2 linked regions of the Lepisosteus oculatus genome follow. The protein of the gene in region 1 purifies or fractionates together with the protein of each later gene. This does not show direct contact. Links are inferred from orthologs where the notes say so. Each region holds a gene or a part of one and is shown in the gene's direction. Other genes may lie near its edges.

Region 1 (7,138 bases):
AGAAATAAACCCAAAGTGGTCACTCCAATAACAACAATAAAGAAGCTCCTTTTTCAATCCAGAGGAAGAAAAAACTCTAAAAGGAAAATGATTGCTTTCACTGTATGAAACTTCTCCAATGCAATGTACGACTGAACTTAAACTTAAATACTGTACATCTTCTGATTATTTAAAGATAAGAAATACTTACAGTAATGTGGCTTACATTTAAAAAACAAATGGAATATTCCAGTTATTTTCAATTGTTTGAACACAACTGTCCTATTTATTTCAATGAAGAATTCACAAAGATCACTACAAACAAAACAATAGTGAAACCCATTCTAATGCAAATAACTTCCCTTTTCTGTTTAATTATGTCATAAAACATTCAGGCAGTAAAATATGACAAATAGCATATGGGACATCCTTGACATTAACTCATAGGATTTCAAATCCCGATATTCTGCTTTGTGGAAGAAGGAATCAAAAAGATCAAATTGATTAGGGCCTGTCAGACATTGAAACTCAAACAGCTGTGCTTAGCAAAAATGTTGTGGAATATGAAGAAACACTAAATTTACACGGGGCAACTGTCAGTGGTCATTAGTTTAGTAAGCAGCTGGCACCTAATGGGCTAGATGAGCTGAATACCTCCTTTCATTTGTAATTGTTTTAAGACATATTATCACATGATAAGTAGCATAAAAAGGTGGAAAACGACAATCAATTTAGCTTGCAGAATATCCATTTCCATTTGTATGAGCCCTTACACTTCCTCGGTATTCTAAAGGTGGACACTATTCTAATGTCCTGCACTTCTAATACATTCTATTTAACTCCATAAGCTGCTCGACATCCAACGAGCTGTATGAGATTAAAATTGGCCATTAACAGTTCGGTCTTTATTCCTGGCACTCTAGGGTTAACTTTCTATTTTAAGTACACCACAGATGCTGTGTACAAGTAATGGGATAATGGTTTAATCTTCTGCTTATTCCTTCTTAATATTTGTCGATTTATATTACTTTATAACGTTTTGTACACTCCATAATACCTGTAACTTGAAAGAGTTTTTTTTCCAGAAACCCTTCCTTAATTCCCTGTGTCACCTCTCTTTCTGCAATTTACGGATGACCACACGACCTTCAGCGGCATCACCTCTGACTTTGACAGATATTCTGCTGAAAGTGGCCGGTTGGATTCAAGCTAAAGCCCAACTCTCCAGGAAGGAAAAAGGCACCCACTGTTCACATGCTTGCTTTGGATCTTTCAAAAGGGCGAACAGGATTCCGGCGCAATATTTACAATGACCACTTCCTAATGCTGGCCAGAGGCCCATGGGAAAAAAAAAGAAAAGACAATCGTGGAACAATAGAGACTGGAATCATAGGGAGCTAATTCACAATGGGGGAAATCCACTAAGGTAGATACGCCAAAATGTCAGCTGCACCACTTCATTTCCACTCAAAGACAAAAATATCTTCAGAAAGGCATCAGTGTCGGGTCAGATAACCGCAGGATTTAGTGTGACGAATCTTTGAAGTATTCAAGGAAGGTGAGTTTTAATTCTACTTGCACTGCTCCTCAACACTGAAGGTGTGGGGTCCATGTAAGCAGCAGGCCGGTCAGATATACAAGGCTGCAGCATCAGTAGGACAAGATTGAACAGGGCCTCACAGCACAGACCTCGGCATGCAAGCACATGCAGCCACTGAACAGAAGCTGGCTGATCTGGGAAGTGGTAATGGAACCCAATGGTGTGTGAAATGGCCAACCAGGCCCCACCTACCCCTTTGTGGTGATCGAGTGCTTTCCCTGCATGCTAATATCACCAACACATGGGCATCAGGAAATACTGCTGTGAGCTTCCGAACTTTGATGGTGCGATCATTTAGTGTGCCGATTGATCTGCATGCGTGATAACTTACACTAACTCCCTTGAAAAACATTGCGATCTCTAAGCAATAGACTGAATTCTCTGGAGAAATTAGACTAAGTTATATGTTTATGTTAACAAATAGCCCCTGTAGTATTTCGTAATTAACTACAATCATGTGCTAAGCAACAATAAATGTGATGGGGCGATCGCCAAGCTAGCTATCTGGTTTTGAGCCATCAATTATAAGATTAACCTCACATAATTGGAAAACACAGGTTCTCTGGAGATTTTTTTTTCTCCTTATCAAATAAATGTCTCTCCCTCGATTTGCACAATTAAGTGAAAGAAATATCTTTGGCAAGGCTCTTGGGTGGTCTCTGGCTAGGTTTTTAATGATGCTGTGCCATTCCCAGAACAAGTGAAAATGCTGTAACGATCCAAATGCGAGCAAGTTGGAACATTAAAAAAAACATGCATTGTTAACAAGACTGCACTATCTATTGTACGAAAGCTATAGTGCTAGTGCTTAGTCTCTGGCGGACCAGTGTATGATCAGTTTCTAATTTATTTAGAAGATTATCATAGATCTGATTGGATGTGCACTCTAATATGGACAAAACATCACCATGCAAAAGATTGTCTTCAACAAGTCTGTTGGTTACAGAATAAATGCATATTTACACTACAAAACTTTTGCTCAGTGGCACTCCTGTGTTTGAAATGGCACAATTACAAGTACTTCACAACAGTGGACCACAATATTTTTAGTAAAACAAATAAAATGGAAAACAGAAATAATTTATACAGTAGCACCTTTTATAAAACATTTTTTAAATGTTCGGGGGGATATCAAAGTTCTGACTTTCATAAGAACATTTGCTAAAATCAACTATAAGTACACTGTATCTGAAACTGCGTTTAAGTTTTTGTAAAAAACAAAAGTGGACTTTAACCTTTATGTAAGGTTTTACAAAATGAATCCCCGGTGGAAGCCGAGCTGATAAAAATAAATTAAAAAAAACAAGCGAAATCCCTCTGATGTCATCCGTTAGTTCTCAGCGTCAGTGAAAACACCTCCTGCTAAAACAGGGAACAGATCTTCCATCCTCTCGGGTTTTGGCCTCCTGGAGAGACTTTTGGTGACGCAGATTAAAATGGACAAACGGGTACAAACACCACACCTGGAAATTAGAGGATGTTTTTATTCCATTCAAGCCAATCTTTACACAGGTGCAGGAGAAAGAGGGATGACACTTCTCACGATAACCTCTATAGCAGTAAATCTACACACGGCCAGTTGCACAGACTCGTTGCGGTACATGCAATGCAATCAGTACAGAATAACATTCACCTTAAAATTAATAAACCTTTTTAAAAGGAAAACGCATCAGATGGCCAACTTGATCATCGTATGACTGTGAGTCCCTTTGGTCCTAATCATCTCTCAGAGCTCACTCCACATCATCTCTGAGGTTAAGGAACTACCAGACCTTTGGTTTCTGTCCTTCAGAAAGGTGAGCAGTGGGTCAAGGGCTTGCTTTTCCACGCAGCAGTAATTAAGGTCATACTTAATCATCCAGGTTAATCACGTCAGAGAATATGCTAGTATCTGTGGTGTTAGGCAGATAGTAAGACGTGGAGCTGGTGTATTAGTTTTACCCATTACTACCAGTGCCCATGTACACATCTAGATAGTGCTCAAAGAGACAATCACGACACAACCCCCTGCTGATTAGTCTTCAGCGCCAGAGGAGCAATAACACAGCTCAGACCCTACAGCACATACATGTACAGTGCACACAGCTAGACTACAGCTAAAATCACAGAGAACAAAAATTAACAATTTTTACATTTGACTCTTAGTTGAATTATCCTGTTCTCCCAAGACAGTTGCGTGCCGGTGATATTATGAGATATCCACAGCGCAAAAGGAACAACGTACCGGACAGACACACTATGCAGCTCAACCATAGCCTTGAAGTTCAATTCGTTTCAGCTGTAACACAGAACATACCGGTTGTCGCACCCAACCAAAACTAACGAAGTTACAGATCGAGCGGGTACTAAGCCTGTGCATTTAAATTTCGGGGAGGACAGTCTAAATAAGGGGAGAAAAACACACAAGCCCATTTTATAATCTGCAAAAGCTTCTGCAACCAAGCCTATCTCCAGACTGCCTCCCATCTTCCACAACCCTGCTGCCACCTCAGACCAAGCCCCTCCCCCCAGCGTCCGGATGTGATGTACATCAGCAAAACAGGAACTGGTGACCTGGAAGTTGATGTCACATAGAGGTCAACTTCGCTCTTCCTGCGGCTGAGCACTGTAAGTTTATTATTAAGGTGTTATTATTTGTTTTTGTTTATCTCGAGTCTCAATTTCAGTCGTCTAAATAAGTGTGTCCATAACGGTCCTTCACTTTACAGGTGTGGTATATCTGCCTGCTAGTTTTCGGTCAGAAAGGGATCGGGAAGCGTTTCAGCGCTTAGTGTTTGTACATTATTTAGTCCGTCACTCTTCATCTTTCTCATTTTAACGTGTATTGAACGTGAATTCTGAATTATCCAGTTCGCAGTGACATATGAAATTATGCGATTTGCAAGCTCACGCCATAGTTTGCAGTAATCCCGAGAGAAGAGAAAGATATCCGCCCAGATTAAATGTAGCATTTGCGGTGTGTCATGCTAGCGATCACCACAAAAGAAATCCTGTTTAAACTGTGATACATGCATTTGCGTTTTTATCGCTGCGTAAAGATAGTTGTTGTTGGAGTGGGCTTCCCTGGCGCATTTGACTGTATTAGTCACCCGTTTTGACAGCTGTTGGATGATGACACCGGTCGATTCGGACCCACACCAGTTTTGAAACTGAACACGCAATAGAATATATAGTATCTAAACGTGTACTATATCTACTTGTTTACTTTGTTACTTTGTTTTTTCTGTTTAAGTGTAGCAAAGCATGATGTATCGGGGGTTAAAATCACAATTGTACGGTATGTTTCAATGAAAACGGAGCTTGTGAACAGTAGTGTGCCAAGTTTATATCCAGAATGTTATTGCGTATGGTTAGGCTCTTTATATGTGTGTAAGCATGCATGTGTGCACAGATGTTTGCAGAATTATTAAGGTGTGGAGTTTGAGGAGTATTTAAAGAGCAAACTCACATTCCTGTGTTTAATTTAGTAAAGTACTCCTAACTCTCCAATTGGCATAGGTGGGCCAAATGACCTCCTCTCTTTTGCAAGCTTTCTTGTGTTTTAATTTTGATAAAAACGCAGCAGTGAAGCAATATAATTAAACCAGTCCTGCGTACAGCTCAAAACTTTTACTGATATCATACTTGACTCGATGTGATACTATAAAGTGGGCTCTATAAGCAAGGAAAACTATGCAATAAAAAGTGTACAGTAAATGCGTTTTAAAAAATGCATTCCAGCTGCTGAAATGTGGCATGCCTGTAGAATCACAAAGGTTAGGTCTATATATTTGTATAATTTGACAGTACCTCTAATAATTCCTCTTAAAATAAATAGCTCATAAGCAGTGGTGAAATAACACAAAGCAGACATACTGTTCAGAAAGGGTGGCAGAAAAGCTTGGCATTCTTTCTGTATATTTACTGCACGATCAGTCACTGAGAAGCAGTAACCTCCACTGGGCCAGATAAGCCTGATCCAACGCTCGATCATGCACGTGTGTTTAAAGGCCGGAGCATTTGTCAGTGATTGCTAGAACACTCGAACAGGTATGGGTGCCTACCTTTTCTCAAGGAAGTTATTGCAGTTTAGAGCACGCAGTGTGCTGAAATGCGCACTGACAGGCCTCTGGCAGTATGACCCTGTCCAGTGAAAGTCAGACGTGGACACTGTCCTTGAGCGGATCGCCTCAGTCTGCCTGCCTTAGTCAGCCAAGCTACGCTAGCAGTTGCCTGCATTGCCTTTAGGAGGTGTTAATTTGCAGTGGCTATCCTTCCACCTGCCCAGGGGGAGTCTTGCACTTTCACTTAGCTGTCTTAAAAAATCGAAACTGGGATTAGCAGAGGTGATAGAGTAGTAAAGTGTTTTGTCTCATGATGGAAATTAATGTTCAGCCTTAGCACAGCATTCATAGGTACATCTGGAGACATTCATACCCACTTCTAGACACAGCGGCAGTCAGGCATGCCGGCTTGTTTTGTCACTACAGAAGGAATCATTAGTGTGTCAGTGCACTGTACCAAACTGTACTGCTGTCTTAAATGATGTCATGCTCATACTGTAGGTCCCTTGGACTGACCATCACATTTAAGTGTAACAATCCATATTGCCCTGCTAAATCAGGTGTATTATTTATGCTGAATCCAAAATGCATTTGCATCTGCAGAAAGTGCTAGATTCCTGTGATCAGTCATCAGTTTAAGTGCATTGCTTAGGATGGTCATGTGGCTGAAAGGAAAATCAAGTTTCATCTCCAAAGAATGAAAAGAAAAAAAAAACAGGAGAGATGCCAGAAGCTCATCCACAACAAAAACAACCATGCATTAACAGAAGCCAGAAATATACAAGTTTTCCCAGTGCAGTTCAAAAGCATTTCCAGTCTATTTGGCCTATTCTTATTACATTGTATGGCTGTTTTTTGTGCTTTGATCATACAGCAAGAAAAGGGATTGTGATCCTGCACCCTCTGCATTTTTGTTTTTCTCAATGTTTTGTGCAGGAGCGCCAATGCTTTAATAGACTGAGAAAAATAGAGAGAAGGAGATTTAAAGATATGTATCCAAGTGGACCCATATGTGCATGGGAACAGTAAGGTACTGGCAATGCTGCAGTCTTTTCCACATGTGAAAGGGTTCAGCTGCATGTTGGCAAAGCAGTGCGGTGACTTTGGTGGTCCAGCCATCCTCCATAAACAAATCACATGGCAAGGCATCCTAATATTTATGATTGTAGTAAGGCTCTCTTTAGGCAATTTATCAGTATAGGATTATAGAGTGCTCTCATTTTCCGTTTAGACTTCACACTAGCCAGGTTTGTTGTTAATATTGTAATACTTTTCTGCAAGATCAGGGTGTCTGAATTTGTGCTTTTGATTGATGATGTTGGCATGTTTCTTATTCAGATGGGAGACGCAATTATTTAATCATGGCTGGCTTAATTAATCAGTCGTGTTTGGTTTACAGCATATGGTTTTGTAGCCTCCAGACCTCAGAAGCTCTACTTTACTGTACAACTGTTAATTTCCCCCATTCCTCCTGTAAATGCCCATATCATTCATCACAGAAGGGCAGAGCCGTTCC
Region 2 (7,343 bases), about 1.7 Mb from region 1:
CAAAAACACTTAATGACAGTAGATCCTCATGATATTCACTACTATTTGTACCCCAAGGTTTGTACTCTGTTTGTGCACCTTCTGATACACCATGGAAACACAACAGTTTTAAGTTGTACAGCATATCAACAACTCATTGGGCACATACGTTATGTTATTTACATTTTAAATGAAATTAACATAATGTATCTGTCTTTACTGGGCAGAGAGGTTTGATGATCATTTCAGTATTATTATTAGTATTCCTTGAAGAACTTGATTTTAATTCATGTAGTTGAGGTATCTAGAGTAGATTCCTCCTGGTTAAAGAAAACTGTCTGGTTTCTACTGGCATGATTAAAAGTGACTAAGACAGACGCTGCCCCCAAAATTTAGATGGTCTGTTTCAACAACTTTCAGCGGAATAAACAGGTAACTGGCACTGCGCAGGACAGGCCACATACTGGGAGGCAGAGAGTCACCAGACTGCATGTCGTTCTGACCCACCTATGTAATCAGTTTTTAGGTGGCACAGCTACAACTCAAGAGCATCCTTGAAGAAGAATGACTGTAGCTCACAAATCTGCATGAAGATTATCTGCATGCTTGGAGGGCATTCAGGGCTCACAGGTTGACAGCTGGGAGACTAAATCGCGGTTCTCTGTGAAGCCGAGAACGTGGGGATGGAGACCGTGGGAGTGTGGGAGTGTCGCGTTTGCCCGCGGATGATGTTTGGCCCTTTGTTAGACCTGGCGGACGGCGAAGTGTGTGCGATGTCATGTTGCGTGTGGTTCTGAGTGTCTGGACTAGGCAGCAGAAGCACGACGATGTGGAGAGGAATCTGCTTCAACACAAGAACGCCCTCGGAGAATACTAGTCAGTCATGCTGCCATGCTCAGACCTCATATTCTAATTGTTCAGGGCTTCAGTTAAAATAAATCTAGGAATGTGAACGCGTTTGATGACATAATTGTTAAGAAAACTGGAGTGATTAATGCACAACTGTAAAAACAGGATTTAATGACTGCACGGTTTCTGAATGCACTGAAAGCCTTTTTTTTTCCTCAAAGAATGTTTCCAGTCTTTTATGCCAAGGAAAACCACACTTACACATACATTTTCTCTTCTTTTATCTGTGATAATTGTAAGATCCCTTTAATCGTACCTATACCGAAATGCATAAGCAAAACACAGAAGTGCAATAAGTTCGGTCTGTCACCGTTCTCGACTCGTCAGGTGTTCACTGGGTCTCTCACGAACTGACCTACAAAAGAGGAACCGCGTTGTGTTACAGGCAGTTAATACTGTCGGCGCTCTGGTTCGTGTTGTTCAGAGAGCATACCAGAAGATCACACAGCAATCAATGCTTCTTATTCCCAAGTGCTATAAACAGTTTAAAATAGGGTCATTACAAACCAAATGCGTTTTAGCGGAAAACGCCACCTAACTTGTCTTGGGTGACAAATACCATTTAAAAAGCAGATCTCTTCATTCATTGAGCAAGGGTCTGGTGCCAGGTACTGTACCTCTCACTCGGTGTCCTTTCCAGCTCATGTAAATATCCTGAGGTAAGGTGCGCGGAGAGGGTGGAGTTACTGTACGTGTTTGCTCATTACAGAGACCAGGATAAACTCCGGCATGGCGAACAGCAGTAGTTTGCATATAAAACTACTCCTACCCCGGCAAAGTGTCATTCCGTTCAAAAGGGGTTACTTTTGATCCCACATGCTCCTCGCCCCTCCGGCTGCCTGGCGGTCCCACTTCTGGGAAGATTTCAGCTGGAACACCTTCAGACACAAGCCGAGAGTGATGTGTTACATGTCAAAGAATAAAATGCGTAGAGAGACTGCTTGCTCTCACCGCACAAAGAATCTTGATCTTTATTTAATATTATGAAGTTGAATTACCCCAAAGTCTGGCACGAAAATGTGAATCCGACTGATTCTAAAGATCCTCAACGCGTTAGGACTTCGCTTCGATCAGATCACTCAGTTTTAGTTCTCAAAAGAAGCTTGCCAAGAAGCAAATGGTACTGTACTGTACTGTACGTAATTGGATTTGAACATGAGTTCCTTAAAAGAATACATAATTTAAAATGGTCAGGAAGCTCTCTGACAAGGGCAGAGAATCTCACGCCTCAGAACATTTCCACACTGAAGATATTCTATGCAGAGATCATTTTTAACAAACATTATTTAAGTTGTTTGCATTTATTGTATTTCTAAAGCAACAGCTACAGACCTGCTGCACCTTTTTAAAAGTGAACCTGATTTATTCAGGTTTCTGGAGGGTATTCTAGATAGCCTCGCCGCAGCAGCTAAAATACTGTACCCACAATTCACCAGGTTCTCTTTTAAGCTGGTGATGCTTAGCCAGACTTCACGAGAAGAGATGGACAGGCTCTGATTTGAAATTTCATTTGCCATTCTATGTTCAAGTTGGGTTTGTTGAATGACACTTAATCCCTCAGATTACAACTGGCATGCCAGGTCAAAAAAACAAACAAACAAACAAACAACAGTACCCAGTACTATGGATCAGTGACTGGGATAAGCCCTTTTAAGATGATTAGTGGCAGGTTTAGGAAAAGAGATAAACATATACATGACAAGCTGACAATACCTTCAATGGCCTATTTTATTTCAGAGCCCACTGTACCACAATTTAATGATTTACTGTCTTTTGGATCCTGGAATGTTTTATTTAGTAGAGACTATCATGTTTTATTGGAAAATACAGCAAATACATTAAATAATGAATCCTAATCATTGTCCTCACTGGATCATGGACTAATAACAATTGATATATTGTACTGTCTCTCCAATTCTCTTGTGAAGTCATTTATAAATATTGTGAATAACCCATATAAATATTTTACTTTTGATTTACATAACCTGATGCAAATATTTCTAAGAGACAGTTATACGTTTGATATTTATCTTCAGTGTAACATATACATATAATGTGTAAATCATTGTAAAATTAAGGTGTAAGGGTTTGCATTACTGTAAATATTTTGCAAACATTATTTTATAAAACAGTCTACAATAGCTGCGTAACAGCTTTTAAACCCCATAAACCTTCAACAAGATTGTGAACCCTAAGGTGTATTATGTTCACAATCTTGTTGAAGGTTTATGTTTCAAGCAATGCTAGGGAGCAATATTTATCTAAAAAGGAGGTGAATGTTGCAGTTGCCGACACTCATGAGACTCTTTAAGGAGTGTACAGTAGTTTCCTGCATTAGACTCTCTCCCATCTTTTCACCACTTCCTGCTGAGGCTTTTCGTTTGGAAATGAAACCCAAATGAGATGAAGCCCACATCTGTAGGAACAGCGCCTGGTTTGTGACAAATGTGGTGTGAACTCTGATGGGGAGGTCCCTTCACACGACTCCGGGAATTGAAAACTGTGCTCTCGTCGCCTTCTGGGAAGCTTTCCGAACGGAAGACACCTCCCGGATTCGCTGCAGTCGGTGGAGTGGTGCTGATTACTGCATGGTAAACGAACAGCTGGAGTTAGCTGGAGTTAACGCAGGACAGCTCAGGACAGGGCAAGGGCTGTGCCAAAGGCCACATTTCACATCCTGCAAACAGCTCCTGCCAGCCTCACCCCTGACATTGCTCACTTTCAAGTGAAAACACCACCAAGGACAACAGCCCATGGATTTCAAAAGAGCAAGAAACCTCCATGATGAAGGAAGAAACACCACGATTCAGCCATTGAACCTTCTCCAGGTGTATCGGTGTTTTGTAGGGTGTAGTTAACCTTTTCTTCCTCCAGTACGGAGTAACTCAGCCCCCCCCCACTCAGACAAACAGTATACTGGATTTCTAAGCATTTTAGTAATGAACGTTAACTTAAACATGAAACTGCATTTAAGAGTGCACATGAATAATGGCAATAATGATAGTGCCCTTTGCATTTTAAAAGTATGTTAAAATTAAAAGGTAGAGGAATTCCTCAGTGGCGGTAGGAGCATGAACAAGCTCATAAAAAACAGAAGCAGCTAGTTCGGGCTGAAGATGAATGCACTTTGCACAGAGACGTGGTTCTTGAGGTCTGTGAGCTGAACTGCTGAACTGCTTAGGAGAAACAGTCTCATCGGACTGTGGGTCCCTTACCAGATGTGTGCTTCTGCACGGCGGGTGTTTCGGTACAGACTGTTACCTACAGAAGACGAGAGATAACACCACTGTCCTGCACAGATGGTGAAGGTCTGGCAAGGGCATTGTACTGTCACCCTTGTCATTGAAACAGTAAGCCCATCCCAGCATTCCGTTCAATGTTGTTGGCGGTTTAGAATCTAATATTGTTGATTTTGTTTTAAAAGGTGGACTGTTACTGATTTGTCCCAAATACAGAGTTTCATTCTTTTATGGGCACCAAGTACTCAGCTCTAAGGTTTTATTTTCTTTTTGGTAGCAGGTTTTAGGGAATTTTCGAATGACATAAGTGAGAGGCTAGCTGTCAGATAGCCATGGTAGCAAATCAAACTACATTTGTACAGTAGTAGAACATATTATGCTGGAGCTCGTTTCTCAGCGTACTGAAGTTTTAAAACTATGTCGTGTTAGCCATAAAAAAAATCGCAGAGGGCAAGTACATGTGTCACTTGGTTGGCCTTGGCTCGAATATTATATAGACTATACTGTCCGTGCACTGTATCTTGAATTTTTGCAGTCTTTGTTGTAGGAACTTGAGAAAACTCCAACTCCCAGAATGCAAGGCAACCCGAATAGGAAGTTGTGGCAGTCAGTTGTGGCGAGTTGGGCGGCGTACAGCGAACCGCGACCGAGAAGGGTAGTTTTTATTTTGTGATCTAGAATATGGGATGCATTTATTAATGCAGTCTGTTTAACGGTGTGTTTTCAACTCCCTCGGAAATCACTCACAGGTAGGTGCGCGGTGAGTCCCTGTTTTTACCGTCGGGAGGAAACGAAATTGTTCCGGCTGTCACCTGGGCCTGTAGATATTTTTCCATTTGCCGTGCCTGGAAACTTGCTGTCAGATCCTGGTTTTGGGAAAGGCTTTTGTGGTTGTGCGTCTTGCGGGACAATCGCAGCACGTAGCGCTCAACAACACGCAGTTCTTCGCATAAACAGACGAAACGCGCAGATGCTAGCAGTAATAATACAAGCTTAAATAAGAAATAATGATGAAACCGATTTGCATACGGTACTTGAGCACCGTGCTTTGACGTTTTGCAAAGAGAGGGCTTCTTTGCTAAACTCCTCAGATGTACTGTTTACATTTACAGCCAACTCTTATTAATTGCTTCGGCATGGTAGAGGTAATTGCTTATCTACCGGATCGAAATATATCAGATTTGTTGATTAATGTCGTGGTGGATTAGTGCTGAAAACGCTGTTAATTCACATTGTTACGGGTGCAAGATGCTTTCCATATTAAGGGCAAAGAATCTCTTGTGCACGCAATTTATACGCATTGTTGTGCGTGTCAAGTACTTTGCGATTGTGTGCACAAAGTAATGTTTGCAATGATAATGTTGGTGTGTGTTTGCAAAGTGTCAGTTTGTGTGCGTACGGTAGTGTTTATTGTGACACGGTAGTGTTTATTAGTAGGTGGACAAGTACAGGTTACCATAAACCCCTGGCAATCACATTGAAGGCACATACATTGCCAAGCAGACGTGTAGAATATGATTTCTCATTTTGTGTAACAGTGTGCTGCCAAGTGCACATTGCTTGCTAAGAAGACAGAATTGAATATACACTCATTTATTACGTGTAGAAATCAGTGTATTGCAGACTCCATACCCTTAACCTGTCAGGTGGACAGGAATAAATGTATTGAAACAGGCACTAGCTGAGAGAAAAACTTTCATGACACTCAAATCAACCACTGAAGTGCTTTGGAACTCTCTGACCTTCTGTTTCTGGAAATGTCAAACTGTTGCGTGCGTTGTGGTTTTGCTTTTTTCAGGCACCCTAGAATTTTGTCCGAAATGGAAATCCTTTTATTGTGCCAAGTGGTACAAATTAGAAAGGTTTGAAGGAAAATCAGAAACCAGATGTAACAAAGTGGAAAATTGTCTTTTTTTGTTTGTTTTTTTTTTATCTCGGCATGACCGAATGATTTTCTTTTGTCTTTAATCAGGTGATTTAACATTCCTAAATGGCTGAAGAGGTTTATTTTAGAATTCAGACACGTCATTGTACTTGCTGTTTCACAGAGCCCACACAACTCTAATGTTTGAGAAATATTCCAAAAACTGAGAGTTTAAGTTCTCAGGATGATTGAATCCCCAGGGCCTGACAGAATCTTCTTTAATTGCACTCGTGGAAACTAGAGATGTTTTTCAGAAGCCATGGATGCAGCTCTCCCAGCCGTCCCTGAAGACAGGGGAAGGAACCAGGGACTGGAGAATTGCTAATAACATGTCCATCCGTAGAATTAGTGAGAAAACTGGAGTAAGACAAATATGTTTGACTTCTGTTGCATGTAGGGTTAAAGAAACTATCATTTGACATAAACTAGTGGATTGCCTATATGGAATTAAGTTCCTAAGGGATAATCGGCATAGATACAGAAAAGGTAAATGAGAGGTTTTGGACATTTGGAGGAAATGTTTGTGTGTTTAATTTGAGAATTGTTTGATAGAAGATCTAGTAATTGGTGGAGTACCACAGGGGTCTGTACTAGGACCACTGCCCTTTCTGATTTAGAACAAGAATCTAGATTCTGATAGAGTAAAGTAGTCAAATTGGTGCCGTTGATACAAAAATGGGAGGATCAGCAAACAAGTAGTTCAGAAGGGCTAGGACAGTTCCTGACCATAGACTCTGTCGCTAGAGAGCTAGTAAAGTCTGTAAATCTGTTGTCTCTCAGGCCTATCTCAGCTTTGAGAGGAGGGCGGAGGGGTGGCTCTGTGGCTCAGGATCTGTGCCTGTGGCTGGAAGGTTGCTGGTTCAAATCCTGCAGCTGGCAGAGGAATCCTACTCCGTTGGGACCCTGAGCAAGGCCCTTCACCCTAACTGCTCCAGGGGCGCCGTACAATGGCAGACCCAGCGCTCTGACCCCCAGCTTCTCTCCCTGTCTGTGTGTCTGTGTCTCCATGGAGAAAAGCTGGGGTATGCGAAAAGACGAATTCCTAATGCAAGAAATTGTATAGGGCTAATAAAGAAACATTATCATCACACATTATAGCTGTGTGAGGAGGGAGGTGGTTGTTGGGATTGTCAGTATCACTGGCGATTATTGAAGGTACCTCGCGTGGGAACGTCTGTTCTTCCTGTGTCGCTGCTCGGCTCCCCGCGCCCCAGCCCCAGAGCCCGGTCCGCGGCTGGCCCCGCCGCTCATAGCGACTCCTCTGCTTGCAGGCGGCGGCAATGGAGGAGACG

What was found.
Region 2: the proteins of exoc2 (region 1) and exoc3 purify together in Homo sapiens (affinity purification with mass spectrometry; 6 studies listed by BioGRID and IntAct, counting the BioPlex papers as one, with this or other methods). This does not show direct contact. The link is inferred for Lepisosteus oculatus from reciprocal best matches to the Homo sapiens genes EXOC2 and EXOC3.

The regions. Positions count from the first base shown.
Region 1 is NC_090701.1:4,957,422-4,964,559, reverse strand, and holds the start of exoc2 (exocyst complex component 2), read left to right. Parts: upstream 1-4,112; 5' UTR 4,113-4,186; intron 4,187-4,206; exon of another isoform or gene 4,207-4,287; intron 4,288-7,138. UniProt on the Homo sapiens protein: Component of the exocyst complex involved in the docking of exocytic vesicles with fusion sites on the plasma membrane.
Region 2 is NC_090701.1:3,227,417-3,234,759, forward strand, and holds the start of exoc3 (exocyst complex component 3), read left to right. Parts: upstream 1-4,341; 5' UTR 4,342-4,887; intron 4,888-4,913; exon of another isoform or gene 4,914-6,537; intron 6,538-7,322; 5' UTR 7,323-7,331; coding exon 7,332-7,343. UniProt on the Homo sapiens protein: Component of the exocyst complex involved in the docking of exocytic vesicles with fusion sites on the plasma membrane.